Linked DNA regions of Drosophila melanogaster. The protein of the gene in region 1 interacts with the protein of each later gene in a pairwise test. Each region holds a gene or a part of one and is shown on either strand. Other genes may lie near its edges.

Evidence for each region.
Region 2: the proteins of Hil (region 1) and Rexo5 interact in a two-hybrid assay, tested with the Drosophila melanogaster proteins (one large-scale study listed by BioGRID).
Region 3: the proteins of Hil (region 1) and RhoGDI interact in a two-hybrid assay, tested with the Drosophila melanogaster proteins (one large-scale study listed by BioGRID).
Region 4: the proteins of Hil (region 1) and mRpS17 interact in a two-hybrid assay, tested with the Drosophila melanogaster proteins (one large-scale study listed by BioGRID).

Annotation. Positions count from the first base shown.
Region 1 is NT_033778.4:20,614,287-20,621,653, forward strand, and holds the start of Hil (hillarin), read right to left. Parts: upstream 3,932-7,367; 5' UTR 3,781-3,931; intron 648-3,780; 5' UTR 409-647; coding exon 220-408; intron 1-219. Other genes in the region: CG9945 (uncharacterized protein), read left to right, coding at 4,423-4,602, 4,670-4,934, 4,995-5,141, 5,194-5,733, 5,794-5,949, 6,152-6,258, 6,322-6,462; CG11180 (uncharacterized protein), read right to left, coding at 6,781-7,367. UniProt on the Drosophila melanogaster protein: May act as a modulator of septin function during cytokinesis in the developing nervous system.
Region 2 is NT_037436.4:6,600,944-6,610,856, forward strand, and holds Rexo5 (RNA exonuclease 5), read left to right. Parts: upstream 1-2,740; 5' UTR 2,741-2,950; intron 2,951-3,019; 5' UTR 3,020-3,241; intron 3,242-3,422; exon of another isoform or gene 3,423-3,734; coding exon of another isoform or gene 3,735-4,259; intron 4,260-4,331; coding exon of another isoform or gene 4,332-4,633; intron 4,634-4,689; coding exon of another isoform or gene 4,690-4,966; exon of another isoform or gene 4,967-5,089; intron 5,090-5,235; exon of another isoform or gene 5,236-5,351; 5' UTR 5,352-5,373; coding exon 5,374-6,135; intron 6,136-6,191; coding exon 6,192-7,475; 3' UTR 7,476-7,796; downstream 7,797-9,913. Other genes in the region: ndl (nudel), read right to left, coding at 1-1,514, 1,571-1,714, 2,137-2,155; zpg (zero population growth), read right to left, coding at 3,735-4,259, 4,332-4,633, 4,690-4,966; axed (axundead), read left to right, coding at 8,527-8,565.
Region 3 is NT_037436.4:19,927,017-19,935,806, reverse strand, and holds RhoGDI (RhoGDI), read right to left. Parts: upstream 7,065-8,790; 5' UTR 6,899-7,064; intron 4,993-6,898; 5' UTR 4,977-4,992; coding exon 4,793-4,976; intron 4,720-4,792; coding exon 4,610-4,719; intron 4,545-4,609; coding exon 4,430-4,544; intron 4,117-4,429; exon of another isoform or gene 4,070-4,116; coding exon of another isoform or gene 3,965-4,069; exon of another isoform or gene 3,895-3,964; intron 3,826-3,894; coding exon 3,629-3,825; 3' UTR 2,877-3,628; downstream 1-2,876. Other genes in the region: CG46462 (uncharacterized protein), read right to left, coding at 3,965-4,069; CG8004 (uncharacterized protein), read left to right, coding at 7,370-7,453, 7,527-8,252.
Region 4 is NT_033778.4:24,171,417-24,177,177, forward strand, and holds mRpS17 (mitochondrial ribosomal protein S17), read right to left. Parts: upstream 3,026-5,761; 5' UTR 2,952-3,025; coding exon 2,844-2,951; intron 2,780-2,843; coding exon 2,420-2,779; 3' UTR 2,249-2,419; downstream 1-2,248. Other genes in the region: CG3328 (uncharacterized protein), read left to right, coding at 1-855, 911-1,422, 1,620-1,839, 1,900-1,980; Nop60B (nucleolar protein at 60B), read left to right, coding at 3,539-3,551, 3,612-3,980, 4,057-4,308, 4,501-4,775, 5,011-5,415, 5,477-5,689.

The DNA.
Region 1 (7,367 bases):
CACACATTTGCGCCTCGGCAAGGTGCAATAACAAAGTTATTTATTATTATGCATAGGCAGAAAAACACAAAAAGTGTCGTTCGAATTGCATTTTTGCATCTTGCAGCTGTGCAAATATTTAGACTGACGCGTTTGTCGCTTAAGTCTTTCGTTTTTGTCGGTCCGTCCCCGTCTGTCTCGTGTGCCGCTGCTTGCGGCGATGCTTGTGGTGGCACTTACCTCTTTGTCATCCTGCTTGTGCTGATTATTGAAATACGTCTTGAGCGTCAGCTTTGTGCCGCAGTGTACGCATTTGAAGCAACCGGAATGGAAGAATGTGAAATCCTTTAGTGGCCCCACACGATCCACCTGATAGACTGTCTCGCTGCAGCGCAGGCAAGTCGACTCGTAGAAATTTGGCCGATACATAATGTTTGGCGTCTATGTATTCCTCCTGGATCTTTTCTTTTTCTGTGGCAGCTTCCGACTGGTTTTCGGTGGACCTGTACCTGTTGAGTTTGTCACTTTTCTTTTCGTCTTTCAATTTCACTTGGCGCGGAATTTACGAGTATATTCTGCTAGTTTTTCGAGTTTGCAGTTGCTGGTTCTGGGGGCGACATCATCCGCTCATCCGCTCATCCTCGTCATCCGTCCGCAGCTGGCAGAAGCTGTCCGAAACGAAAATGACCGAAAACGATGATTACTGCCTGAGTGGGAGATAGAAATTTCCTATTTGGGCTGCGATAAGATTTTTCGACCATCACCATATACCATATCAGGGTTCAAAAAACAAAAATTTTGATTCTGCGCAGGCGTTTGTCATGATGCGAGCCAAAACTTTCATTTATTTTGGCTATGGGCAGATTATTAATGAATCTTAATTAACTGGACACGGTGGACAAGAGTTTTGGCGTTTCTCAGCGGCAAAGGGTTAAATCCGTTTCGCCTTGCCATTGACCTCGCTTGGGAAGTCGAGCTTGAGATTGCTCCAAACGTGCCACAATTGAACTTGAGTTGCTGCATTCGTCGTACAACTGGCTCGTGCAACTTGCAACTGCCGCCTGGCAGCGGCACAAAAGTTGCATTTTCCATTTGATTAATTGACGCGATTGTTACTGGCAGGTTTCCTTTCGGTTTTTGTCTAGCTACAACAATTAAATTGAAGTGGAAAAGCAGACTGTGTGAAGGTAAGTGTGTGCGAGCAAGTGCATGTTACTTTAATTGAAATCATTGTTGTTGCGGCGTCTGTTGCTCTGACCAAAATTAAAACAAATGCGGCTCAGTTGCGCAGACAAAGCCAAAAGCCGCAGTCGAACTCAAAGTCATCGTTTTGCTTTCTTTTCAAGTTTAATGAACGTTGAGTCCGGGCGATGAATGGTGGGTGGTTGGGGATCGGTTGGGGAATGGGTGGTGGCAAGGCCTTATGATTAGCGCCAGTTGCGGCATCGAAGGTTGCTGATCTGTGGATTGCATGCCACATTGCAGCTGCAGCACTAATGGAAAATGGTAAGAAATTGAAATGGAAAAGGGGAAAACGCCAATGCAAATGCGGCGAAGGCCGCCAAGACATTTTGTAACACCAAATTATTTTGATTGGCTGTGAATAAAAATTTATTCCGCTTTTGAGGTCTGCCTTTTGATCGACCACATCGAATGTGAGGCAACAAATTGATGTGTGAATCAAGACGAGCGGGAGATTTGTGCCCTTAAAGACCATAAGCTCCATCGATGACTAACCTGTCCACAATCTCGTCTAGCTCTTTGGCCATAGCCCCCGCATCGATTCGAATATCAATCAACAACGCCCACATCGAGAGCGACAAAAATGGCAGTTTGATCTGTTGATGCGATCATAATCGGTGTGATTGAATGGTCCAATTACGCTTAGCGGCTGACATAATTAGCGTGTAATTATAATTGTAATGGACATGAATACGTGGATAGCCGCGAAGACCCTGCAAATTGGATGGGGCGGCTTTGACAAAACGCCTCGTGCGACTTACATCACCTATCACAATATCGTTCCATCATCCCATCATGCCACCATGGCCACTTGGGTGTGACTAAGAAGCTATGGACTGCAGGTAACCCGAGATGCCGCATATAATTTCGCACACATGCCTGTGCTCCGTGCCAGCTTTGGGTTTCTTTTCCACCTCAATGCGGATGAAATGCCATGCGAATGGAATATAAACATACAAAATAAAATGACAAACGCGAGAAGCAGTCACAAAAACGAAAGTTGCTCTGCGCGGGCAATTGTTTGCAATCGAGACATTTAAATAAATTGATAAGCACTCGGAAGCATTTGCATCGGGCGAACAAGTTCGTTGCCTAAGTCTTTCGTTTCGATGTGGTATCTCTGCTGTTGTTTTTGTCGTTTCCCTTATCGCTGGCATTGCTTAACGAAACGCTAACAATGACAATTAAATAAATACCAATAATAACAGTAAACTGCTGCAGCAGCAACACAAGTATAATGAACTTGAATTGGCATAATTGCCACCGCTAATCACATTAAAGCCAGATACAAAGATTTGATAAATGCAAAGAAACAACAGCCAAGCAGCAAACAACAAGACAAAAAGCAACTGGTTATTCCGCCTGGCAGTGAAACAATCATAGGAATTAAAATAAGATGCAAATGATTGCGTCACTGCAGAGTAGCGATATGAGGGGAGAAATATAAACTTAAAATGTGACAATGGCACTAATGTGAATAACTAACAAGTCGAACAGGGCAATGATTCCCCTTTTTAGATTATGGAAATAAAGGCAGATAATTTCAATGTGATGAACTTAAATAATTGTTAAATTAATAAACATTATAAAATTCAAACTGTTTTCCCATTTCGCTTTACTTTTAGGCGAACTATTTAAAGTATACAAAAGTACTTGTCAAAAACGTTTAACTGTTCTTGAAAAGTGTGAGAATTGGTTGGGCAAATTTGAAAAAATCAAGGTACTTGCTTTGCTGTGCCAATTTCAAAGTCGCTAATTGAATGGAACAATGAATTGCTTTTAGAAATCGCCCATTTCGCTGGCAATAAATTAGAAGCACAAACACCGAAAATAATTTATGAGCAAGCCACAATAATTGGAAGCCACATACGAAACCCGTGTAGTTAAAAGGGATGGAGGGCGGGTGCAACCAGCGCCCATGACAGGTGGTGTCGCCTCAACCACCCACCCCGTCTATTTGCGTTTGTATTGGTTTATGTGTGTGTTTATGCCGTGACGCAGGCCCAGCTTCGACTTCAAACGTCAGCCTGCAATCTTTCACTTTTTTTTCGTGTCTGCAGCCGCGGCGTCGGTTGTTCCAGTTTTTCCGTAGATTATTTCCCCAGCATCGCTATTATTTTTGTTATTTTCGCCTAGATTATACACACGCGATACATGGAGTGCTTATTCTAGGCCCTTTTTGACACACTTCTTTGCCGTTTATGTGTATTTCTATTACTTTTACGCATATATGCTAAACAACTTTCTTCTTCTGGTTGCAAAGGGGCGCGCTTTGTGCAAAAGTATTTATCATAAATTTTACACACACGCAGGCGCACACCGACACACAAACACACACACACAGAGCGATAGCCCCAGCGAGATCCAAGCACACATATTGCATACACACACACAGGCATAGAAAAAGGGGAGAGCAGATTGTTCAGTTCGCAAGGTCCATGAATCCGGAATTCCAATTCTGCGCTTTATCACATTTTCGGCATTATTTGTTGTGCCTCCAAAAGTCTCTTCTCCGAACAGCAGGTTTCGAATATTGGGAATGTAACAAAATTTCATTACCAAACACAACCACTCATACACAATCAGCACAGCACGACGACACACACGGACGCGTTCACTCACACTAGCACAGGTTTCGAGCCGCTTTTCTTTTCGATCCGTTTCTTTTCCGTTCGGCTCGAGCGCGATCACGATCGATTTGAGACTAGTTGCTTTGCTATTCGCGGAATGGAATCCGCTCTGAGTCGAGCTTTGTTGGGGGTAAAGCTTTTACATAGCTCCAAAAAGCTCGCTTCGCAAAGGCAACTGCGCGTGCCCACCACTACTATCGATAGCCGTCCACGGATCAGCCTAGGAGTTCCAGTAATCGTTAAAAATATTTTACTCTGGTCCCCGTTGGAAAATCTATAATTTCATTTGTTTTTTTTTATAAAGCCCTCGGCTACACTTCCTTGCTATAACTATCATTTCAGCTTAGCATTTTTAATAGTTTTAATTTATATAAATATTTATATAGAAAGGTTTTACAATTTTTTGTTCGTAATCTGCTGCGATAGATCGATAGGTGTTCAACGTTTGAACTTGAACATCGTGGTATTTTCAGGCTCTTCACCTGCGGTCTCACTGGCTGCAACAATTATCGAAGAAACGATAGGTTGAAATTAATAACAAAAGAGTGCAAAAGGGAAAACGCAAAAAGTTATGGGGAACCAATTGGCTATACAGATGAATAGCGATGAAGACGACGATTTTGATTCTTCGGACAACGAGCTGGGCTTCAACGTGATCAACTTTACGGTGAACGCCATGGATCTGCGCTCCGATTATTGCAGCAGCGAGATGCCAGTTATACGAGGCAAGCCCGATCTAGTTAAATTTCAGGTAATGACGAAATACCCCGTCCCCAGATAACAATTAATAGTAATTTATTGCCCACGCAATCTTCCAGAAAACTGATATGTACAAGGAGATCCAGGCGTCGAGTGGATTAGTGAGCAATCCGAACAATCGCTGGAACCTGGTGCACGCCCTTCAGCAGCGTGAGAATGGGTTGGCATCGCCGCACAGCGCATCGTTCTCCAAGAACCAGCAGCGCTACATATCCAATCTTTACATACCAAACAAAAAGGCCACACGCCTGATGTCGCTGGAATCCAAAATATTTGTGACCAAGTTCAATCGTTCGGGCAGCAAGTTGCTGACCGCTTGTCAAGGTCAGCATTCATGATTAACGCTTCCGATTGGCATTAAAACACGATTTTGACCCCTTCCAGATGGCTTTGTGCGCATTTACGATGGCGCCAAGGGCACTTATCACCTGCTGAATCGCATCCGAGCCCGCGATGTTGAGTGGAGCATCATCGATGCGGATTTTAGTCCGAATGGCGAGCACTTCGCCTACAGCACCTGGTCCCGCTCATGTAGGTACTCCGCCCAATCTGTTTATCCACACTAAGTTGTTTTCCCCTTCAGTGTTCATCATGCCCGTGAATGGGGGGGAAGACGACTGCCAGTGGATCGATGTCAATGGACTGCCAAGCCATAGGTTGGCCATCTTCTCGCTGCGCTATTCGCCAACAGGCGACAAAATCATCGGGGGCAGCAACAATTCCACGGTCATCGTGACCGACATTCGCACAAGAAACACACAGATCCTGCGCACCCACCGCATGCCCGGCAAGGATGTTAACTCGGTGTGCTTCCTACACGATAAGGATCCAAATGTGATAATCGCCGGCTGTGACGACGGCCTGCTAAAGGTCTACGACCTGCGCACCACCTTCCGTTCACGGGACCTGTCCAAGTCTGTGGCATCCTTCATCGGCCACTACGATGGCATCACCTACATCGATTCGCGCAACGACGGCTACCACGTGCTGTCCAACTCCAAAGACCAAAGCATCAAAATCTGGGACATAAGGCAGCCGAGCAATATGCGTAATCGCAGTCGTTCTAGACAGCAAGTCGACCCCACCACATGGGACTACCGATGGAACCGCGTTCCGCGGGAATGTAAGCTCGTGCCCGTTTTATTCTTGGAAAATTTTTAACGCCCACCTATCTTGTCGGCAGTTTACAATCCGCATAAGCCACTGGAAGGAGACTCCAGCATAATGACCTACCGCGGTCACCGAGTTACCAAAACCCTGTTGCGGGCGAAGTTCTCACCCATGGAGCAGACAGGGCAACGCTACATTTACACAGGCTGTGCCACCGGACGTATTATAAGTGAGTTCACACCTTTATCTTGCAGTATTTCTCTGATTTTCTTTCACAAGGCTATCTAAAATACATTTTCTAGCCAGTAAGTTCGCCAAGTATTTTTAGAAATTCTCTATCCATCAAAAATTTGGTTGTGAAACCAAAGGCCATTTCTGTGTTTCCGTTGATAAACATATTATGTTTTCAAAATAATCCAATTTTCTTACAGTTTATGATGTACTTACTGGTAAGATTCAAGAGGCTATTGAAGGACATAGGACTGTGATAAGAGATCTGGACTGGCATCCGGATCGCTCAGAAATCGTGTCTGGCTCGGTAAGCATCGAAATATGAGTAATATTCCTCTGAATAATAATGCACACTCAACTGCCTACGCAGTGGGACACCCATGTTCACCTGAACAACTTCAGCCGCAGCAACGCCAATCGTCCGGTAAAGCGATCACATAGCTCGGATCATGACAAAAAGCCCCTGAGAAGATCACGACGTTTGGCGAATCGAAATGTTACACCGGACTAGTTGTAAGGTTTAGAGTATAAGCTAGTAAGGTCCCCTTTGATATTACATTTCGTTACATTCATTCATAGTGGCTTGCCTAAGCGACGCACGAGAATATTCACCACAGTCGGGCCGGCTGGGATAATTGGTTCTATTAAATAAGACTGAAGAATATGTCACTCACTTGAAATGTATAGTTCAGTTTAATTAGTTAGCGTGTTATACAAAACAGTACATTAAAATGTAAACCATGAAGCTTACCAACTACCTACTTAAGTTGTTTATGTACAAAAACAATCATAATAAGAATCACGTTGAAATATATTTCGTTTGCTCGATCTAAATTCCTTGAAAGGCGACTCTCTTCTTGACCGCTCGTATGCTAGTTCTTTGCACCCTTACCGGATACTTGCTATGCTGTTTGCTTTTAAAATGCTCAACGGCTTTGTTTTTCCAAAGGTTGCGAATGCGCGTTTCATCGTAAGGACAGTCCACCACATTTAGCTCGACGTTTTCGCTGATTCCGTAGCCCACGATCTCGCCCAGCGACGAATTGTGAAACGCACTCATGTCGAACAATTGAAATTGGTCTGCACAGAATTTAGAGATATTAAAATGATTGAATGATTTGAGTTTTTCTTGGATCTCTTCCAGGGATAAGAGGTCCTTAGGCAGGTCTTCATCGGCTGACTGAACGCTTTTATTGCCGGAATTATTCTTGTCAGCACTTACGTCGTTCCTATCTTCGCCTCCTGTGTCCTTTCGATTATCGACAGCCGCCTCCACGGCGAGCGCAAATGAGGTGATCTCCAGTTTAGTCGAGGGCTCCGCAGACGATTTTAATTTGGATTTCTTCTTCGATTTCTTTTCAGTAGCTTCCGAGGCGGGAGGTGTTTCTTCTAAATCTTTTTCATCATTGTCCTTAC
Region 2 (9,913 bases), on another chromosome or scaffold:
ATTGCTGATCGCCTCCCTAGTAGTCAACTTTGGTTGGCTTGTGGAGCTAGTGCTTACCTCACCACTGGACTCTCCTCCATCGATGATCCAGTCAAACTTGACCGGCTTCGGCTTAGTGGGATAGGCAGTGGAATTATGAATTCTCTCGTTGATTTCGGTTGTGCTGACTGCCACAGTTGTCGCAATGGTTGTGGTGGTGACATTCTCCTGCGGCTCCACAACTTCTTCCCCGTCAATAATCCAATCGAATGGCATCTTACGCAGTCTTTCCGTGGTCCCAGTGACTTCAGTAGTAGTTTCCTGCGGCTCTACCACTTCCCTTCCGTCAATAATCCAATCAAAAGTTATTTTCGGCAGCTCTGTGGTGACAATGATGGTTTCCGAAGTGGCTCCTGTCGTCGTGGTCGCCGCAGTTGTTGTCGTAGTGTTGGTGGACTTGACTTCCGGCTCTACATTTTCCTCTCCGTCCAGTATCCAATCGAATGACAATTTTCGCTGAGCGGTGGATTTCGTAGTTTCCACTGGTCCATCGGTAGTTATATTGAATACCAATCCGTTTTCCGTGGTGGGCACGTGATCACTGTTAGTGTTTTCCGTGTCAACTATTGGCTCGGAGGATGCCGATGTGGTGGTTACATTTCTAATGATTCGCTGCCCTGGTCCCTCGGTTGTACGTAAAATCTCTTGGGGCTTGTCAAAGTGATCCAGAATCCAGCTTATTTTCTCTGTAGTGCTCTCCACAGTCGTTCTTTCGGTAGCGGTTGCATCTATTTTTGTGGTTGTAATTTCGACCAATTGTGTGGTGTTCCAAGGTGCCTTGGTTGTTTCCTTCTTGGGGGCACCATCTGTATAAACTGGACTCTCGTCATGATCGTGCCCATCGATGATCCAGCTGATCCTTGAAGGCTTAATCTTAGTCCTCGCTGGCTTTTCAGTGGCATGTACCGCAACCGTTGTGGCCTCTGCAGTTGTCACCTGAATCAGGTCGGCCGGTGAAAAAGTACCCTTCTGTTCATGGGACTCCATGCTGCTTGATTCCAATTTCGGCTGCTGCTCCCGCATAATGGCCTTCATCTTCTCCATTTTCTCGGTCACCTCCTTTGCCATTTTGTACATGCGCAGAAAGGCGGACATGCAATCCTGCGGAGTATGCTTTTTGCAACGCACAAACTCATGCTCCAACTGGCTTAGGGCTTCTCTTGCCCTTTTACTTCGCAGCTTGGTGTACAGGTGCTGCATATTGGCCTCCATCCGGACGGGATCCAACAGATCCAACCCATGCAAATCACGCCGCATGCGGTGTTTCTTGTTCAACCGGAACTTAACCAGCATTTGCCGCATATGCTTCCTTCTCCTGTTTTTGCTATCCTCCATATCCTTGTTCATATCCTCGTCGAGCAATTTGAAGTGCAAAGTTTGAGGACTCACAATCAGGGCAGACTGATCCTCCTCAAAGGGCTGGTTGAAAAGCACCTGGTGCCTGGCATTCAGCGCTGCAATCTGCTGCACTTGATCTTTAAGTAATTTATTAGTTATTATTACTCTTATTATAACTCGTTAACGAACTTACCAATTTTCTCCACCACTAGCCCGTGGTAAACCAGAGAAAATAGCAACACGATGATGACCAGAATCGAGATGGCCACGATCCGTTTGCCGAATCCAATGCTCCACCAACGTCGCGGATGCCGAAGCAGCCTGGTGGCCTCCATCTCTAAAGAATTCCGTTTAAGAAGATTAGTGTAACGAAATTTCTTAACCAAGTTCAATTATGGATTTTTTGTAAGCCAATCGCTTAAGTATTAAACTGTTTACATACTTGTATGTTTATTGTCTTGTTCGCAGTTTTTATAAAAACTCAGTCTACATACTTTTATTTTCAACATACATAATTAAACACTTTTTATTATTTATTGTGGTCAGCACTTTCTGGCCTGTTCAGCACTTTTGCAATAATTTTTATAATAATGCTGATCCAAGTTCAAAATAAAATGGAACTTTCGACCATTTTATGGAATTCACTTTCTGGCTTAAAATGTTCACAGACGTGGGTGAAAATATTAATTGTTTTTGGCCTATTTTTTTTTTTGCCAACGAGTACGGAAGTTATTTTCAAGATTTCAAAGTAACACATACCATCCATGTTGTAATTCATTATTCATAAATTGATTTATCTTCTGGATTTTTCACTTAAGCTCTGGACATTTTTAACACATAAGCTTTTACGCCACAAAATCGCTGATTATTTCTTTCAATTATATGTTAAGCACTTTGTTAAATTGGCCGGGAAACAAGGAGCCTCAGGTTACAGCGATTCACTCAAACAAAAATCCACAAAAAGCAATCGCAAAGCAATTTGATATGCACGATAATCCAGAACGGTAATAATCACTACGATGACGACTTCCGCGCGATCCGGCCGGTAAAGAGCAACTGAATCCGACGGTGGTGAATGCGCCGCTTATAAGGGCTTCCGGAAAGTGGATCAGCGGGCAAACGACCCACATCCAGCGGCCACTGCTGCACTTTTCTGCTACGTTTCGAAGTTTATGGTTTTTTGGTTAATGAAAAGCGGCCCGGCAACTGCGGAGGTCAGCTGAAATGGCCGACGAAAAGTGCAAGTTGAAGGGGATTTTGGAATGGCAGAGCAACGAACCAGCCGCCCACCACCTATGAAACCAGAACTGTAAGCTAAGCAGGCCCAGCATTAATTCTCAACCCTGTGTCAGAAGTTTCCAAATCAGTTCTTTCCCTTTTTTTTTTTACAAATTTCGTAAAGCGCATAAAAATAAAAACATTTTTCCACACATCAAAGCTTTGACCACGAACACTATTTACCGAAAAATATAAATAAAAAACAAAAAGAAACGGTAGTAAAACAGAAAACACATGCATTCTACTTAGAAAATCAAATAAAATTGTTTATCAAAATTTTACCATCAGACAGAATGTAAGTAGCAGCAGCGCATGAAACGTGCAGGAATCGAGTGTCTTAGCCAGTTTTCCCATGAACCCACAGAACTTCATTAACAAAAATTGATGCGCAAGCAAAGAAAGTATATGCCCTCAAGATCCAGCCAGTCATTAGTCATTGGAGGAACCAGAAAACAAACACAAACACAAGGACCTTCCCACGGCATGCGCATAGAGTTCCTTAACATATTAACCTTTATCTCGAGATAACAAACATGATGTGGACCAGAACGACAATCGCACTGCGCAGAATTGCCAGGTCGCAAAGGTAAGTAACAAATAAACTCATTTCATTCAAAAAGGTATTAGTTACTCATACTCATACACCACCTTGAACGACTAATTATTGTGTAGGTGATATGTAGGTAAATGATGGTGATGAAAGATTAATAACAATAGTGGCCAGTTAACAATCAATAAACTGTGCATGAAAATAGCTTATGTTCTTTACACTTTCAACTTTTATTAAAGATAAATTCAGTTTTCGATCTATATCAAGCCAATTAAGGATTCAAATGGTCAAGAATATTTATGATGATTAAGAAATATGAGAATTTACTGAACAAGTGAAAATGGCACATTATTCTTAGCACAAAAATTATAATAGTTCGTTATATCTTCGATAATATGCACATATCGATGTGAAAAAATTAATGTATGTTATTCTTGTTTGTGTCATCTTAGTCTTCTACTCTAGATGATTCAAATGATAATACCTATTTCAGTATATTGAGATTAAACTTGGCGTCATCGCTGAGATCTTAGATCTTGTCCGCTCCTGGCGGTATTTTGATCAAGGACTGAGCTTCGTACAGCTCCTCCAGCAACTTACGGAATAGCTCGGGGCTGATGTTGTTGCCCACGCGCATCAGCACGAACCAGTCGCCAAAACTGCAATTGCGCAATGCCACCTGCAAGTGCTTCTTGGGCATGAAACGTGCCCTGGCACGAAGCAACTGAAGACGCATTCCGGGATACAAAACGGTGGCCAGGCGGTACAGAAACTTGAGGGAAATGAGCATAGCCACTAGTATAAACCATATCCACAGGAAGGCGAAGATTTTCTCGTTCAGTATATTCAGGGGCAGCAGGCAAAGGTAGTCGTATATGTTGGAAGAACCGCTGGGGCCGCCCTTGTACATCTCGCACTTGGCACACTTGGGGAAGACTGCCATGGTTATAATGTTCCACTGGTTATAGTCGCCATTGTAAAGGGACAGCAAGGCATTACGGTAGCGGCCCCAAAAACCTCCGAAAAATACGTCCAACAGAAGGAAGTTTAGAATCTGCGGGGTTGCAAATAATTACAATTTTTAGTAATATCGTAGATTATTGAATTACTAGTTTTGGTCACTCACACTGATGCTCAAATTGAGTATTTCGCAGAAGACGTAGCTAACGAAGTAGCGGAAGTGGGTCTCTTTGTAATCGCTGGAGAAGTAGTTGACTAGTACGCGCAAATGGGTCCTGCTCTTGTCCTTGCAAACGGCCATCTTGTGGAAATCATCGCACAAATGCTTCAGCCGACCGCCCTCCCAAATCTTCCAGAGAAATGCTGGCATATAAAACACAAACGACTCGAGCAGCAATACCAGCACGACCCACTGATAGTAGGTTATGTAGTTACGATTTTCCGGGGGCACTACCTTACTAACCGCATCTGAAATGAAGAATCCGTGCTGAACATGGGAATCTTTGAAGCATTTCCAAACTCACCTGGTCGGCACTGTGCAGCTCCATTCCTTAGGGGCGTCACAGTCACATTGTCGCTCACATAGGCCCCGTAGATCCAACAAAAGGCGTGCACGTAGTCCATATCCTTGTCCCCAAAACACTGGATGGGATCGCCGAAATATTGTTTCGAGGAAAGCAAAAATGTGCAGGCCAAAAGCAGGGCCACTGTGACTTTGGAGTGCAGCGTGAAAATAGCATCGTAGATGTGCACCGACTTGAACTGCAGATACTTGGAGAGCGGTTTAACAGCTGCGTACATGATGGCGTATTTATTTTATTTAATTTCGGGCGTAAAACAAAAATTTTGGGGCGGTTGTAAAGTTTGACGATTTAACTTGTACCAAAAGCACGCGGCATCATAACGGTTGATGTATACTATGGTTGTCTCTTTCTTACTCACGCCTGGGAACCTTACGTACAAACCGCAATTTCCAGCAGCCAGCTTTTGGCAGGCACTGATTTCGGCTGGAAAGAAGTCAGATTTGACGAGAAAATAGCGGGACTGCCAGCTCTGTTGGGGCTAAAAACTGTTTTTACCATCTGGTAACACTAGCACGTTGCACATGTTAAATCTTCGTGTTGACAAATTGAAATCTACTGAAAATCGAGTTAATTTAATAAAAGTTGCGTATTTTCGCCTGCAGCTTGAACGGTAAGCGCTCCAGGATGAAGGAACATATGTCCACCAAGCAGCACGAGCGCAACGAGAAGAAGAAAAAGAAGCTGGCGGCCCTGGCGAACCTGATGGAGCTCAACGATCGCGATCGATTGCACGAGGCAGAGTTGGCCAAAAAACGCGATGCAGAGGTCGAAGTGGAGGAGAAGTCAACAGCGAAGGCGGAGGACGGGGACGACGGTTTCATCGTGGTGGGCAGCAAACGCAAGCCGCGAAACCGTCGTCAAAACAACGAGCTGGAGGCGGATTCACAGACTGCCCCAGGAACATCAGATCCTGAAGAGCCGGTGAACAAGAAAATCCGCAATTACGATGCTGGTGGAGATAGCCTGCCGCTGGAGATTGGCTCGCTATCCGAGGATCAGTACAATCAGTTGTCGGCAGAGTTGAGGCGTCGCAAACGGGAGCTGGAGAACGTACCGGCCTTGCGACTGCGTGAGATGGGTCAGCGCGCCTCCCTGGAGACTCCGCAAGATGCTCGTACGCCCATCTTTCTAACCGACATCCAGAACCTGTTGATGTGCGCTCTCATTGGCCAGAAGAGCCCCTGCCGTCCGGATCGCTGGTGCAGCGTGGAGAAGTGGCTCAGTCTGTCGCACAGTGTGGTGGTCATTCTGGAGGGACTATCTCTCTACCACTATCTGTCTAACGAGACCCAGTTTGAGGCCACCAACAGGATATTCAGCACGAAGCTGGAGATGATACTTCCACCGCAGGAGGAGGGCCAGAAGATTATCGACGAGATAGCCAAGGTAGGGCTTCGTTGAAACTGTCTGTTTGCCTAATAATATATCCCTTGCTCTTGCAGATTCCTCTCACCAATGCGCAGGCACGCAGACTGATAGACGAGCACGGCTCCCTGGAGTCGGCTGTGGAGCTGAACAAAGATCCAACTTTGTTTGTAAAGACAATCTTTCCAATCGAAAGCTCTAAATCTGAGTCGGATGACATGCATGAGGATGACAAGTTCCCACGCACTAAGCTCCTGCTGTCAGCGCTGCAAATGGTCGACGAGGGCTATCCTATTCCATTGCAGGGCGAGCTACACACTCGTTTCCAAAACTTTAAGTTTACCAAGGATCTGTATGCACCGGTAACCAATCGCAGTCCTATGTTCGGCGTTGATTGTGAAATGTGTCACACGGAGGCGGGTTGTAACGAGCTAACCCGAATCTCTATTGTCAACGAAAATTACGAGACCGTTTATGAAACGCTAGTGTTGCCAAATAACCGGATCACCGACTATCTAACCCAATATTCGGGCATAACCGCAGAAATTATGGAGCAAGTGACCAAGAGGCTGGATGTTGTGCAAAAGGAAGTGTCCGAACTGCTGCCTCCAGATGCCATTCTGGTGGGGCAATCTCTAAATTCTGACTTGAACGCCATGAAAATGATGCACCCGTATGTAATTGACACCAGCGTGTGCTTTAACACATCTGGGGTGCGACGACGCAAGACCAAGCTGAAGGATCTGGCCAAAACCTTTTTACAGGAAATTATCCAGGAGAACATCGATGGTCACGATTCCATTGAGGATTCGCGAGCCACGCTGAAGCTCGTCAAGAAGAAGCTGGCAAACAGCATCGAGTTCGGAGACCAGATCCTCACGCAGCACAAGCAATTACAGGAGTTGGCGAACGCATCCAGCGGTGATACCATATCCAACAATCTGTTTGCACATGTGGCAAAGCGGGATAAGCGCACGGCCATTGTCACGGTCGGCGAGCTGCAGCCCCGTCTAAAGGAAGTGATCGAAAAGGCGGGAGAGGCAGCGCCCAAGGATCAAAGTACGTCGGTGCATGTCCACGAGGTATCTACGGCCAAGGAAGCCATTCGGAAGGTCAATGAAGTTGCACTGGAAAATGCCCTGACAATTGCCAACCTCCGCGTGCCAGAGCAGGACTTTATATTGGACAGTGCACAGCGGAGTGTTGCCAAACTGGACAAGACCATTGATCGCCTGTGGAAGTCAGTTGCGCACAACGGACTCTTCCTCGTCATCATGGGCGGATCCACAGAGTGCTCGAAGGGTGTAGCCAAAATAGCCATCAAGCGACTAAACGGATCGAATCAGACTATGGAAAGTTAGGGAGCTTTTAAGAACCTTACTTATGCTAACCGCCTCCATGGATACCCGCTCCCACTAAGGTCCTGAGTGTTGAAATCCAGCAGATAAATCAAATTTACCGTATCACACTGAAGACATGACCAACAGTTGCATTACCATACACCTGGGAAATGTCCTGCATGCATGAGTGCATCGATGAAAAATTGTAAAATTAAAAACAAATTCGATCAATAACGAATAATAAAATGTACATTTAATTTTTTTCACAAAATTCCATTGGCTTCTGCATAGTTGTATTAAATTAAATGAGCGGTAAAAATTATTATGGATTATTGTATAAAGAAAAAACTATACAAAAAACTAATTATTATTGATTCCATTTTAAAATTTTCTGAAAGGGTCAACATAATACATGGTTTATTGAACCGTAAAAACTGTTCGTGTCCGCAGGCAATTAGAAATAATTCCAGTATCCGTCCGATACATTTTCCGGATGGAGCATTCCAAACTGGCTGCTTGAATTTGACCCAGTTTCGTCTGGTTTGCATTGCCCGATATATGTGGCTGGTGGTGCTCGCTGGCCAGGCGGCTGTGTTGATAAGAGCCACAAATTTCCTACCTCCCTCAATGTGGTGCTCCGTTGTCTAGGGCCCGGCCCGAAAGCCCGAACTGGGCCTCCTCCCTAGAAGCGCCCACGCACTCTCGCTCTCCCTGGCTTTTTCATTTCCCTCTCTGTCGCTTTGGAAAGGGAAAGTCCCCGCAGCGGAGTATCTGTGTCTTATCACACGCTCGAAAATGTTGCGTCTTTTTTGGCTGAGTACTCATACGACCTGTAGGTCGTGCTCAAAGTTTCTATGCGCATGTCCCGCCGCAAGAATTTTCTGAGAATTTTCCCCAATTCCGGTGGAATGTTGCCAGACGGCTGGTGTTTTGCCATCAACTGGCAGGTATTTTCAAATATTATAACATATTTAAGTTCGACTTATGCCTTTCCGGGCCGAACACAATTGAAACTGAAGATTTAAAAGCCCTGGTCAGGATCACTAACTCATATGGTGCCCATATTTTGGACATGGACCAGTATGGTGGCAACGCCAGCCCGGGAAATTTGGTATGTTTTCCTGCTGTCTCGTTTGTTTTTCATATTTTTGGCTTGGCGCTCTTCGTACAAATCTTGTTGTATATACGCTTTTTGGCTCTCGAGCGGAGACGTCGTCGTCGTTGTTGGCTGCCTTTCCCAATTCCGTTTGGCACGAGGCGCGCAAAACTCTCGGATCGGATCGCATCGGATCGAAACGGAAATATATACGCGAGTATCGGCGGGGCTATATGGCCAAAATATCTGTATATATGTATCTGATTATTGGCATAAACAAATCGGCGTAAACAGAATTTGCATTAAGTTTGAAGATTTTGACATCGAGGCGGAAGTTCATAGTTATCTCAGCTGAAAATTGGCGAATAAATTTCGAAAATCGAGAGTTGGCCCATCCGACAAATTCATAAACTGGGGTAAGTCTCTGTGTATAATTAATCAGAATGCAAAGGAATGAAATGCTGTATACAAACAGAGGCGAGCAATTGGCCAACATAAATTGTGTATCCATAAAATACACAGACACTGGCGAATGAAAGCCTGTTCAAAGGAAAGTTTTCCGACTCTCTGCGTCTCTGTGTGTGTGTGGGTGTAATTATGCGCGTGTATGGGTGTATGGAAAAGTCGTTCACTGTGTCAGTGTTTCATTGTATCATCAGCTGGGCATCCATCGCGCATACGCCGCATTGTCAATTGTTACGAGCACTCACGCCCATTCCCCAGCTTCGCCCTTGGCACCAACTGGTTGCCCCAGCGCCAACCGACCCCAATCCCCGCCAGAAATCCCAGAATCGCGCTCTTGATATTGCTCTATTGGCCCATGCCAAACCCCATGAATTTAGCAAAGGTCTCCTCTTTCTTTTGCCAGCTTTTGCAAATTTGTTTCAACTGTTTGTTCCACTTTCATTCAGTGGCCACTCACCCTTTTGTTTTCCCCGCCGAACATGGAACATGTTGCGTAGGGTTTTTCCTTCACCTTCCACACCCCCAGCGATTTTCCTGCGCGTCGAGGGTGAGTTTTTCGCTTTTTTTCCGCCCTTCCCGTTTTCGTGTTTTGTTTGCAATTCGGGAGGCAGCACTTTTGTTAGCTCCAAAGTCCCCTAAAATTTGATTTCTATGAAAGCCGAAGGGAAATTGAATTTTACCCAATTTTTGTAATTATATGGTTTTGTTATTTTTGGTAATCTTCGATACCATAAAGCAGAATATTTGTGAAGTACTAGAGATAACTAATATAGGTTTTTATTCATACTCTTATAATATCGATGGAAAATTTTATACATAATTTTTTCATTTTGCTTGTTACAACTAGTTTCTGTTTAGGCAATTATGTAAATAATATTGCCACCTTTTCTCCAATCAA
Region 3 (8,790 bases), on another chromosome or scaffold:
TTCAGTACTTTAAGAAAAGGCCGCCAATTTTCATTCATTTCACTCCATTGCAGGGTAGATTTATTAAGGGATTTGTTGAATGCCATGCTCAAAAATAATATATTGCTATATTTAACATTTGGAGCAACAAACTTGGATGGCCAATATCAAAAATCAATGCCAAAATGTAAATGAGCTAACCACCGCAAGCCCGTTCGAATAAATATATTCAGAAATCATGCAATTTCCTGGCCAACTTTGCAGCGAATCTCCATCAGAAAAAAAGCATCAACTAAAAAAAAAACAACAAATTCAATATATACGCAAATTATTTTCGCTGTCCGGTGGCGAAAAACGCAGAGCTTTGGAAAAAAATATATGCCAATTGTGGTGGGGGGTTTGAGTTTGGTTTTATGTCCTGTCGGCCACGCACAAATCTGATGACTAACTCCAGAGTTTTCTGACGTGTTCGACACTCCCCTTTAAACCAACTTGCCAACTTGCGTGTGCTCACTTAAAGCCACGAAAAGTATTAAAGCCATAGAAACTTTTTTATTACACTTGCCTGGCGAGGGGGAGGAGCATGTGACGTAATAAAAGTAAGAAGTAGGTTTTTTAAACAAAATTTAAATGAAATATAATTAGTGCGGTTTCAAGCTAACAAAAACACAACACTTAATTAAACCACAATTTTCAGAACACCTTATTCAACCACTAATTTGGGACTGATAACTAACAGGTTTATATAGACATAAGAAGAAAACGTAATAATAAAAACAATAGCCGCCCCCCTTGGTGCTTTCTATATATTTTCCACAGACAGCCCACTGCGAGTGTGCAATAAAATTCATCATACGCTACGTTGGCCCCTTTTGGCTGGGAACAGGATGAAAGTTTCGCACGTTGCTCCGTGTGCTGACCCGCATATGAAATTAGAGGCCAGCAGAAACCGAAAAGTTGCCAAATCTTTGTTGGATTTAATTATGCTTAAATGGGCTTAGCAAAAACTTGCCATAGAAGCAAAAAGGTATTCAATAAAGGTGCATGCCCATACATGAGATCTAAAATGAAATTAATTGAATTTCGAACAAAGGAAGTTTAATTTTGCCACATTTGACTACTATATACATATGTATATGCCATATTTTGTGGACAAATGCTGTGTTGTCCGTTTTGCCGTTTGCTGTGTGAAAATTATTAAATCTTGTTAACCAGGAGAAACAGGATAAGAATATGTAAAACAGTTAAATATATATTTTTTAAAATCATGCCAATGGGCAAATTGCATAAATGCAAACACATAAATCCCATTAGCGGCTATAAAAGCTGTGCATACATATAGCCATTTGTAGAGATTAAATATGCATTTTTACAGCGATGCCTGTGCGGCTTGACATCAGCTGCATTTCATGGCTTTTCCAGTGGAACAGATGCCAATAATCCTAGTGCTAGTGATGGGGATGAATTCGAAAAAAAATACAAAATTTATTTATTTAAAAAAATGTTAAAAAATATAAAAGGTTTTACACTTGAATAAACCAAATGAAGTTTCTTTCTAAATATCATAAGTATTATTACATAAGACATAATGAATAATGAATATAGTAATATTCAACAATTTGATTTAAGCGAGCATTCATTTCTCTCAGTGTAAAATAACAACAAGGTACCGTTAGCAGCACTGCCTACCTACACGGGGACAAAATGGCCACCATTCGCATTTCCGCTTGCGTGTGCTGTGTGAGCACTTTGCCTGTTGCGCTTTCTGGCCTGCTCTTTGATTGCATTTCATTTCTACTTTATTATCCGCATTCTGGACGGCTCCTGTTTTTTCCATTGGCTCAGCAGCTTTGCTGCAAATTTCATTGAGCCCCAGCCCGGATGCAATGGACCATAAAGGTGCAGCGGCGGGACAATTGGCAGCATTGGGCCAAAAGGCCACATTGCCACACAATGGGGAGTGCGGAATGTTGGAATGTCGGATTGAACAATGCGATTGAAGGCTGAAATTCGACGGGCCGTCTGTCAATCAAAACATCCTCGACGGACAGAGATAGACGTTCCTGTTTGATGCAAAAATATTGGTATTTCAAAGGTAATGTTAAGAGTAGTCGAGCTGAACGGCCATACCAAAAGACATATATCTGCTAAACCATTTGAGTGAATTAAAAGATATAGTATATATAATTTTTTGCTATGAGGAAATATATGAAAATGGCGAAACAAGCAAGACTTCTCTTATGTATACATGTAAGTTTTTGTTAGTTGCTTACCTGTAATTACTTCTCACGTAATGAAAACAGTGTGTACTTATTTTTCTGATTGTTTTGTTCCACATCCTGGAAAATCGCACCCTTAAAGGACCCCAAAAAACATACGAATGCCCCAGGCCATTTACCGAAAACACAAATGATTTGTTTTTCTTAAATTACACCATTTTTCTGCTGGCAACTATAGCAATTTCCGAAAAAGTAACTTGCTTATTCATGCAGGTTTTCGCGACTCTGAAGACAAATGTGCGTTGGAATATAAAATGCGGTTATTATTATTTTCTGTTCTGAAGCGGCGATTGTTGGGCAACATGCTGCTAATGTCTGGCGCAACAAGAGGCTGGCCACTTGTTGCTGGTTGCGAATGTAAACAGAGAAGTGTGTTTCACAAATTCTCTCTTTTGTACACCTTGAAAAATATTTGGTGACCGTTCACAGGGCGGATGAGTAATACTCGCTCTGCTGGCCACAATTTATGACGTTTGCCCCTTGGCAATGTAAGCTGATAAGCATTATAAAGTGTGAAGTCAACTTATCTTTGGCTACGGAGAAATCTGTGCACACACTGCCACTATAATTTATGGGATACCCATATCATGGAAAAAGAATTCGCTCACTTAGGCATTTATTTTAAAATATGTATCCTTTATTCTTTATTGCTCTTCGGTTGCATTCAATCAGCTTTCGCATATATGGTATGTTGTACACAAAAAATACACAGAGATATATAGTTAGAATAATGTGGATTTAAGTAACTCCATGTTGCACAAACTTCAAATGCATAATAAAGCATCAGCTTTAGTTGCATTTAACAGTTCGTGTTGCACGATTTTAATCGGTTTCTTTTTAGTTTTGAGGCGACTTGTTCTTACAATAAACTATTCCATTCTTCAATTTGAAATACACAGCGAAATGCAAACAACTTTCTTAAAGTTAATTACTCAATTGTTAATCTGTTTGAAAATGTATGTTAAACATAGGCAATGGCATTAAGAACCAAACGACTGACTGTCTGACTGACTGGTTGGCTGACTGACTGACTGACTGGCCTAGTGACTTGACTTGGTTTTGACTTGACTCTCATTGAGGAGGACTTAGGCGAAAAATGCTCTTCATCTGCACACATTCCAATTGCAAATAGGGTATCAAAAATACTTATCATGGCTTTACATTACACTTTAGTTACAAAAATATTTAAAATTTAATACCGTTAACAAAAATACTTGACGATCAATTACACTTTTGGAAAAATTCGCTTACACTTTTGGAACAAAACTAAACTCATTTACAAGGCATGTTTGAGGGAAAACAAAAAGCGTATGATGTATGTTGTAAGTTGTGTGTCGTGTGTGTTTGTTGTGTGCTGTTCGGTGTGCCAATTAGGCCCAGTCCTTTTTGATCTCAAAGGTCCAGTCCCACTCCAGGTGTATGTGCTTGTCGTCATCCGTGAAGACCGAACTGACCGAGTAGGTGCCGCGGGAGAATGTGCCTGAAGGTGCCTCCTCGGCGGGCGTCAAATAGAACTGAATCTCCTTCTTCGGCGGATAGGAGCCAACCATATGCTTCATCTTGTCAACTATGGAGTAATGCGAAAACAGTCAGTTTAGTAAGGATACACATTTGCGGATGGGCTGCACCAGCTTACCCACAACTTAAAAAATTATACATTCCGAAATTAGGGTTTGGCATTGGAGATAATGGAATACAAGTTATTCTCAACACATGACTAAAGTTAGTATGGCAATTGTGAAAAAAAGGATATAGGCAGCACTGCAAAATCCCACCAGTATGGTTGTGCCATTGAACCAGCTTTTACCCATTGCTAGAAACAAAACTCGACTAGCCCGCACAAAAGTCAATCAAAAACTGAGGTGTAATACTAACGATTTCGCGTCAGCACGGAAAATTGAAGACCTAGAAGTGCTCGCATAGTGTAACGTATGGAAAATAACTAAAAACAAGTATCTTTTGACCCGGTTTTAATTTAATTTTATTCTTACAATACTAGGGCACTAGGTCAGTAAATAAATAAATCAATTAATAGAAAATTAGGGTAGGACAAAAAAGAAATATAATTGCTTTGCCCTAAGTAAAGACATATAATGTTGATAGAATTGAGAGTGTAAATCTATTCTATATTCTGCCAATTAAAAATACAAATGTCATGTTTAAATACTCACCATTAACACCCAAGCGAGAAGTCTTTTGAACATACTTAAGGCCATGGACTATTTCACGCTGCACAATAAAATCAATGCGCACCTTGTACTGAACACCTTCTTTGATCACAAAAAGCTGTCGCAATAGGGTTTTGATTAACAAAAGTAGTCGAATGGATGATGATGGTTAATGATATTTACCTGCTTTTTCAGCTGACTAAGGTCACCGGTAAGATCCAATTCCATGTCGTCGCGTCCTTCGACAACGAGGGCCAGTTTCTTTACAATAACTTTTCGGGGATCATTGGGTTCTGGGTAAAAATGTTATTGCTTTAGTATATTCTGCACCCTCCACTTTCAGAGGCCAAGTTAACCGCCCCTTACCAACAATAATTTTCTCGGTCTGGGCGGCACCCAGGAGCGCCTCCTTGTAGCGCCGCAAGCTCTCATCCTCCTGATCGGCGGCCATTATTTCCTCGATGGTCTTCTCCGGCGGCGCCTGGTAGTTGGCATCGTGGACATCGTCGTCGTGGTGCTCGGGATGGTGCTTCGTCTCTGTTTCGGCCATGATTGCTAACCTAGAACTGTCCAAAGGCAATTGTTTGTTTATCAATCAATTACATTTAAATATTGCTTCGGATTTTGCTTAGTATGCGTCGGTTTCTCTGGGTGAAGCTTGTGGGTCATAGGCATATTTTTAGTAGTGTGAGTAACATTTTGACGATAATGATGTTGTTTTATACACATATGTATATGCCTCCATTTTAATGGCATGTGCGCCACCATATCTGCTACATCGTATCGGAGTGTATGAAAGTATTCCTCATTCAAAAAATGTAGGAAGAGTGTTTTTTCTTCTGAAAATTGTCGCCCTAAGGAGAGTTGAGCTCATAACTTAACAATGCAGGGAAGAAATTCGAAAAAAAAACCTGCCATCTAAATATATAGTTGAGTAGTTAGTACATTTGTTTCTACAAATTACAATGTTAAATATTGAAATTCAAATAACAACGATCGCAAACATATTCCATATACTTCGCTACTGATTACGTTATCATTCGCTGGCCATAAAGCGGGTTTATTTACTTTTTTGGCAACACGAGTGCCTCCGTTGCGAACAAATGTAGCCACTTCATAAGCCCGTTCAATAATATTGATTAAATTTCAATTATTAACGCATTGATGAACTGACGTGTTCTCTGTCTAGGGGGCGGGGCAGAGAGGGGCGCTCGACCTGCAGCTGGTCCGCTCGCAAAGTAAAAAAAAAGGTTCAACCAAATACGGAGCGGCAGTTAGATAAGGCAGGCGAACTCGACGGAGGGAGAGAGAGCGGATATCGGCATTGAATAATATTGACCAGAACTGGGAACTGGCGACAAAAAGCCAAACCCACCGCCCCCCGGAAAATGGCTTTATTGTTATCTTGCTTTGTTTTCCACTATCTAAATACACGTCGCCAGCTCTCTGTCCATTTTCAACGAATGTTGTTGGGCCAATAATAATTCTCGATTCTCCAGATTTGGCTTTATATATATGTACATACATATGCAGTGTACCCGGGCAAAAAAAATACATGAAATTGAATTGTTATTACTTGACATCGAGTTGTTGTTGAGGTAATAAAATTGTGTCTATACAAAACGATTTTGCAGGCCCATGTGTACATACAGTAGTAATAATGATGTATTTCTCAATTTTATACAAAACATATTTTGAAATTCTCAAAGCTAATAAATATTTATCTATCTATCTATCTGTTTTTTACTTGTAAATGTAAATATTATTGGTGCTTAAAAATCAATAGTTTGAATCTTAGTATCGGTTTTTAGATCTCATCGTAATATTTCCAAATTAGGCATATGAAAAGCACTCACAATTTCTCTCCGTGCTTGTGTGGGAATGGCAAAAAATAATAAACAAAAAATTTTCGGACTAACAACGCAAGTTTGGGCCAATAAATACAATCGCAACAATTAAGGATGGGTGAGAAAAGGTAATTTCAAGAACAATCTGACCGAACTGAAAATTTGAATTCCAAACAAATGTGCCAGCGTCGAAGGAAGTGCAAGCGAGAGGGCTTGCCAGAGAGAGAGAGAGAGAGAGAGAGAGAGAGGACCCCCCGCCAAAGACAAAGTGTGGGGATAATTCAGGGAAAAGTACGAACCATGCCACTTTTTTTTCTTCTCTTTTTTTGATAAAGAAATGTGCACGAAGAATGTTAAAACCCCAGACGAATGAATCACACACACCAGCTCACACACACACACACTCACACTGAGGCCGGCACATGAATCGTCACTGATTTTCAAGTAGAATTTTTGGGAGTGGTTCTTGGCCTGCAGTCACCCAACTACATACATTTGCTATCAATGCCAGCTTGTATTAAATTAATATAATAATATTATAAATATTTTTTTTATGTAAAATGCATTGGAAGGCACCGCACTCACACACACACACAGTTGCAAGTTGGCAACGACGCGCACTCACCTTTTAATATGCGAAATTAATCAAATAGTACGATCTCTGAAAATTAATCACTGAAAAGTAACTGTATGTTATATTTTTAACAACTTTTGATAACTAACTTTTAAACAAAGCAAATAATATAAAATAAGAATTACAAGTGTGAACGTATGCTTTGGTGGACAGAATACCAAAACGCGAGATGGACTTGAAGAAGTCATCCGTTCACACTGCTGTCCAAAAATACTTGCTTTTCGAAAAAGTTTTTAGTTTTGAAACAGCTTCCCCTAAATCTATTTTATACTTTGTAAGTATGGGTTTAAAAAGAAATTATTAATTAGTTTAACGAATCTTGCTGAAATGCAATTTCTAATAAGAATCGCTGTTTGGTCATTGTCTGCAACAGTCTGGCAACGCCGACAAACAGCTGCTTGTTACTTCATCGGCGATTTCGGTGTGCAAGTTGAAAAACACAATTTACTCCGTTAATTTACAATGACATCCCAGTACCTGAGCCAGCTAATAACGGCCGACAAATTGTCCGCCGAGCCCTGGCCCGAAGACGCCACCCTCTACCAGGTAAGGTCCTGGTTTATAGGTCCAGAATCTTCACTAACATTAACCTTTCATTAATGTGCATTAAAAAAAACAGCCGTATGAAGCGGAACAGATCCTACTGCCGGAAAACGCCAGTTGCCTTGCTGTGAAGGCTTACCTGAAGATGTGCAACCTCCCCTTTTTGATTCGGTCCTGTGCCAACGCGGAGCACATGTCGCCGGGCGGCAGGATGACCAAGTTGCCCTTCATCCGCGCAGGAGCATTCATCTTTGCCGAATTCGAGCCGATCGTGAACTTTGTGGAGCAGAAGGAACTGGCCATTGGCAGCTGGCAGGACGAGGACGAGAAGGCCGACATGCGCACCTATGTGTCGCTGGTGGAGAACATCTTCACCATGGCTGAGCTGTACATTAGCTTCAAGAACGAACGCGTCTACAAAGAGGTCACAGCGCCCAGGAACGGAGTCGTTTTTCCCTGGCCCCTCAATCACATGCAGAACTATGGAAAGCGGCGGAACGCGCTGCGTCTGTTGAAGGTCTATCAGTGGGACGACCTGGACATCGATAGCGTCATTGACAAGGTGGCCAAGTGCTGTGAGACGCTCGAATACAAGCTGAAAGAGTCGCCGGAAACGCCATTCTTCTACGGCGATCAGCCCTGCGAACTGGACGCCATCGCCTTCGGCCACCTCTTCAGCATTCTGACCACCACGCTGCCGAACATGGCGCTGGCCCAAACGGTGCAGAAGTTCCAGCACTTGGTCGAGTTCTGTCGCTTCGTCGATGAGAAGTACTTTCAGACGAGGTGCCTACCAAATTAGTTATACGTAGTCGTTGCCTTAAATGCTTATCAATTAAGTTGCTCTTGTCCTTTCTTTTTAACCGCTTATATATGCAATTCTAAATGCCCTTAAAACAAATCGTCGCCGTAAGTCACAATTATTTTGCTACTAGCATTTAAAAAAAAAAGTTGTTCTAGTGATTTTGCTGCCATTAATGTCCAAAAATCCATGTGAATATCATTTGCACAAGTGACTCAATCTGCAAGTTTGTTTAAATGGAATTCTAAAATACTTCTAACGATCTTTACTTCATTTATTTTGCAGCAAATAACTTTTCTGCTAATAAAATTGTGTAAGTATTTGCTATAATACATCAAATAAATTGTTTTCTTAGCAAACCAAAAAAAAAAATAGTCTTGATTTTTGAACATTGCTGCCTTTTCCTTTTCATACTTTTGAAGAAATTGAACTCTCGTTTATGTAAAGACCTTAAATACACATATAGTTTTATTGATTTATTGTTATAATTAATTTAGATTATTATTATGAATGCAATGTACACATCTTTGCATGCAGA
Region 4 (5,761 bases), 3.6 Mb from region 1:
GAGGACCTGGCGGCGGTGCTGACCAAGCCACAGGTGTCCTCCGGCCAGCAGCAGCTGAGTCTCAAGCACGGGGTCATCACGACGACGGCCCCGCGATTCAGCAACAAGACCATCAGCAGCAAAAAGGGCAAGTGGCCGCCCACCCAGGAGGTGCTGCGTCAGGCGGCGGGTCAGAAACTGCACCTACCTCAGCCGGTACATGTGGTTCCCGCTGCTCCAGCGAAGGTTCCTCCAGCTGCCTTGAACGACACAGTGGCCTCCACGGAGAAGCCACCCCAGGCCATTCCTCTGCCTCAGGACTTCGAGAACAACTCCATAGACATCGATGCCCAGCAGAAGCAGTCCCAGCTGAAGCTGGACGAGCACATCGTGGTGGTGGGGACCATCGCCAGTCCCGCCTCCGATGCCTACGATTCCAACTCACCATCCGTCGCCGCTCATCCCATTCGCAAATTCAATCCTGGAACCGTCTACACCCACGTTTACAAGACCGTATCGCCCCCAACGGCCAATCTGGCTCTGACCACCAACAAGGTGAGCACTGAGCCCGCCCAGAGTCCACTAACACACGCTCTGGATGTGCCGCCCCCGGCTCTTCCCGTGAGAAACAGCAGCGACAATCCCGATGCTCTGGACCTACAGAACCTGAGCAACACCAACGAGTCCGTGGACAATCCCATCACCCAGGTGTTCGGATTCGAGTACCAGGAGTCGGGCTTGCGGGAGTCCAATCTGGGCAGGCGGTCTGCCAATCAGCGGAGTCTGGAGTGGATCAGACAGAAGGACATCAAAACGGCCATCTTTGGACAGCCAGCGGAGTGCAATGGGGATGAGTCGGTTAGCGACAATTGTCAGGTAAGCTTCAGCTAGAGTGATGCGCATCCAGGTACTTATTCTACATCCTGTCCAGTCCGTTTGCTTCGAGGAACTGCCGCCGACTCATCCTCAGCCAGACAATGTGGATGCCAATGTGAAGGAGCAGCACGTGGAGGACGATCTGCAGTCGGCGGAGGAGCAGGAACATGATCCGGACATCGTTGAGACCCAACCCGCTGTCTCAATAGGCAATGAGACCTCCGCCGCGCTGGAGGCCCAGCCGGGATTCCTGGGCAAGAGCTCACACGGCACCGACGCCCTGACCAAGAAGCAGACCGAACCGGTGGTCGCAGCCAAGGACGATCCCGTCTACCGCCTTCTGCAATCCGCCTCTGGGCAGGATCAGGGGCCGAAGGCCGACGAGTCCGTGCTGCCGCCCTTCCAGCTGGATTGCTGGAGTGTGGCCAGTTGCGTCCTAGCGGCCCAGTACAACCACACCATTGACGTGGAGCAGTTCTGTCCCACCTCGGGCAGTTCCCTCAATGTCAGCTATGTGGTTCCGGTATCGCGCTATCTGCAGGCCAGTAGTCTGGAGCTCCATCTGAGGTTAGTTGGGTACACTTTATTTCATTATTCTGTAACAAATGTATTCGAATTCGGTAAGATCTTAAAGTATCTTAAAGATACAAATGCAGTATGTGTTTACATACAAAATCATACTGCCCTTGAACCCATTCAAAGTTCCATTGACTCCTAATGAATTCTTTACAATCACTTATTTTATTACCATCTATATCCAACAGCTCCAACAAGCCGCTGCAGTGGTCCATCTGCGTCGACGAGGATCAGGCCAAGCCGAGTGCCAACGGCCAGCTGAACGAGGATGACGAGGCCGAGTCCACCAGCGGGGTGAAGATCCTCAAGCAGCAGGGCAAGAACAAACTGAGCCTGGCCCTGGATCTTCCCGCCCGCGGCTACTTCCTACGGGAGTTTATGCTCCGCGCCAGCCACGACCTGGAGCAGGTGCGTTATCCGGACGCATTAACGCGAAATCCAGCGACTCTAGCCTCCTTTTCGTTGCAGCAAAAACTGTGCGACGACAACGCTCACCCGGCAAACCCCATACTCCAGTACAACTTTAGGATCGTAAGAGATTGTGATTAGTATTCAGCTTAATTTATGGCACGGACCGAATCTGAACTCTAAAACCATGTGCGTGTGCAGCACGTTTCGGTGTTGCGGATGTGTCCTGGCACCTGGCGCGGAAAAATCGTTTGAATTAGGAAAATTCAAAAATTAAATAATCAAAAACTGTTGATCAGCGAGAGGAAGTTGAAAATGCATACATTTATACGTATACACAACAAATCATCAATAAATGCAAAAAAAAAAAAACAACTATCGACCATTAAAATAAAATATGTAGAGAAATCTTTTAAACCTGCCTTTTTAATTCAATTCAAGCAATCAAAAACCTATAAAAATATCTTCTTTCGTCGGCCTAACCATTTTATAAGAAAACCGAGAAACATATGTACGTCATATTAATGCACTTTACTATTAAACAAAGGGGAAACTTAACAGATAAACGACCGGCAGAGCTCTAAACGGCGAACGGCTGATCCTTGCCATCCTCGTGGTACTTGATGTATGTTTCCCCGTGGGTGAAGTCCTTGGTTCCCTCCAGGCGACCGCGGGGCGGTGCCTTCTCGTAGTCGAAGGCCTTCTCTGACTTGCCGAACAGCTGGTTGGCCATCTCGATGTCCTCGCGGTAATTGCCCACGACCACCTTCTTGCCAGTGAGCGGGTCCGTTATGTCACCCAGCGGATAGACCACTTTTTCCACGTTGTGCGTGATGAGGCGGGTGAGGCGCTCTGGCAGTTCCCGTATCAGGACCACGTCCCCGGTCTTGCACACCTTCTGCGGATCGTGGGCGAAGTAGAACTCGTCCTTCTTAAAGTACTGCGAGCAGAAGGGAAATTGTGTGAAATCTCCTGAGGCGAGATCTAATGTATATTATGCACACCATATTCAGGTTCTTGTCCAGCTCCATTCGGCGAATGCGGATCTTGGAGGCGTTCTGCTTGATGCAGGGCATGCACTGGCCCATTAGTAGGAGTCCTCGCCTCGACATTACTTTAATTTAATTTAAGAGTTTAGAAAAATAAACAACCGGTTGGGAAACACAGCTGGTAGATCACTGGCGATAGTATCGATTGGGCCTGGAACTATCAATATTTCGATATTTTTTACTCAGCAGTTTCTGATTTTCAAAATCCCGCCAAATGCAATCAGCTTGCACGCGTCAGTTAAAAAGTAGGGTAGTATGACTTTTCATCGCAAAAACAAGTGGATTCTAAGGACATAACATTTTCACCGTACTATAAACAGTGTATCAGTTTTACATAACATATCTTTTCAATTAAATAATGCTTTAATGGATTAAAAATGTTTACGTCAAAGTAAATACCTTTAAATTCATTTTGTTTATGAATAATACATATTTTTAATTCAAAATTGTAATAAGGAATTCGGCTCACGATGACATATCGCAAGATTTCCATTTATGTATCGATGTCTTCATGAAATACATTTCTGTGTAGTCACACTTATCGATAGACCGCGCACTCCACGTGTTTTTCGTCCATTTTCTCGCAGCGCGCAACACGTGCGGAGGTTTCTCTCCGTCTATTAGTTGATTTAGCAGAAAACGTAGATAAAATGGCCGACGTGGGTAAGTCTGGCAAGTGATGAATTAAAAGAGTGCCCAAATAAACGGACTATGCGCCCGCAGAAGTACGCAAGGAGAAGAAAAAGAAGAAGATCAAGGAGGAGCCCTTGGACGGCGATGACATTGGCACGCTGCAGAAGCAGGGCAACTTCCAAATCAAGCCCTCCTCCAAGATCGCCGAGCTGGACACCTCGCAATGGCCGCTGCTCCTGAAGAACTTCGACAAGTTGAACATCCGTTCCAACCACTACACTCCGCTGGCGCACGGATCGTCGCCCCTGAACCGCGACATCAAAGAGTACATGAAGACTGGCTTCATCAACCTGGACAAGCCGTCGAACCCCAGCTCCCACGAGGTGGTGGCCTGGATCAAGAAAATCCTCAAGGTGGAGAAGACAGGCCACTCCGGCACGCTGGATCCCAAAGTCACGGGTAAGTGAAGCGCGTGCTCGCCTACCGCCATACAAACCTAACCTCATTGTGTGCCGCGTGTTTTTTTTTCCTACAGGTTGCCTGATTGTTTGTATTGACAGGGCCACCCGTCTGGTGAAGTCCCAGCAGAGCGCCGGCAAGGAGTACGTGGCCATCTTCAAGCTGCACGGAGCCGTGGAGTCGGTGGCCAAGGTGCGTCAGGGCCTGGAGAAGCTGCGTGGTGCCCTCTTCCAGAGACCTCCACTCATCTCCGCCGTAAAGCGTCAGTTGCGCGTTCGTACTGTCTACGACAGCAAGCTGTTGGACTACGATGAAACCCGAAATATGGGTAAGTCAGAAGTTTTGTTTATCCATTCTCGCTCAGAGTTGGTGCGTCGCTGCTGGATTAGTTTATCCTGCAGAGGTGCAGCCTGCTTCAGCCAGTGAAACACCAGTATTTGCCTAACACAGCAAATGCACAATGTAATTGTTAAAACCTCGTCTTTTTCTCTCCTCCAATTCTGCCCACTCACGTGCTCAGGTGTTTTTTGGGTTAGTTGCGAGGCCGGCTCCTACATCCGTACCATGTGCGTCCATCTTGGTCTCGTACTGGGTGTCGGTGGCCAGATGCTGGAGCTCCGCCGTGTCCGCTCGGGCATTCAGTCTGAGCGCGATGGTATGGTGACCATGCACGATGTTTTGGACGCCATGTGGCTGTACGAAAACCACAAGGACGAGTCTATGCTGCGACGTGTGATCAAGCCGCTAGAAGGTCTGCTGGTCAACCACAAGCGCATTATTATGAAGGACAGTTCGGTAAGTTTGACATCCAGTTGCCGTTTGCGAAGTAGTACCCCATGATATTAAGCCGGCAGGTGCCTGCAATCCCCACGGGCACCTGTGACTATGATTGGGAACAGCAAAGCTGCTGATGTGTGTATGTTGGGCAGCGCTCTTATCCTGCGCGCTCGACAAAGAATATTCGGTCGACATTTCCTCTAGCAAAGGACCCCCTTATGATATCAACTAACAACCATCAATCTTTCTCCAGGTCAACGCCGTTTGCTATGGTGCCAAGATTACATTGCCCGGTGTCCTGCGCTACGAGGATGGCATTGAAATCGATCAGGAGATCGTCATTTGCACCACCAAGGGTGAGGCCATTTGCCTGGCCATCGCCCTCATGACCACAGCCACTATGGCCTCTTGTGACCATGGTGTGGTGGCCAAGATCAAGCGAGTGATCATGGAGCGAGACACATACCCGCGCAAGTGGGGATTGGGACCAAAGGCGTCGGCCAAGAAGGCGCTCATTGCCGCCGGCAAGCTAGACAAGTTCGGAAGGCCCAATGAAAACACACCTAAGGAGTGGCTGACCGGTTATGTCGACTACAATGCCAAGAAGCCAGCAGCTCAAGAAGTCTCCCCCACAAATGGCTCCAGTGAACCCAGCAAAGTATGTTATTGAAAATGAGTTTAACATGGTATTCACTTGCTAAATAATTGTGTTCCTTTAGCGCAAGTTAAGCACCTCCAGCGTTGAGGAAACTGCTGCGGCGGCGGTATCCGAGGAGACTCCTTCCAAGGACAAAAAGAAGAAGAAAAAGAAGCACAAGGGCGACGAGGAAGCCCCAGAAGCCGCTGAGGAGGAGGCAGAGCCAGTAGAAAAGGAGAAGAAAAAGAAGAAGAAGAAGGACAAGGATAGGGACAGAGACGAAGCTCAGGAATAGGAATCAGAAGTTTCTATAGGATTAGGTTTTAAAGAGAATTCTACGCTTTTTTGTAGAGGCACCTACCGATTG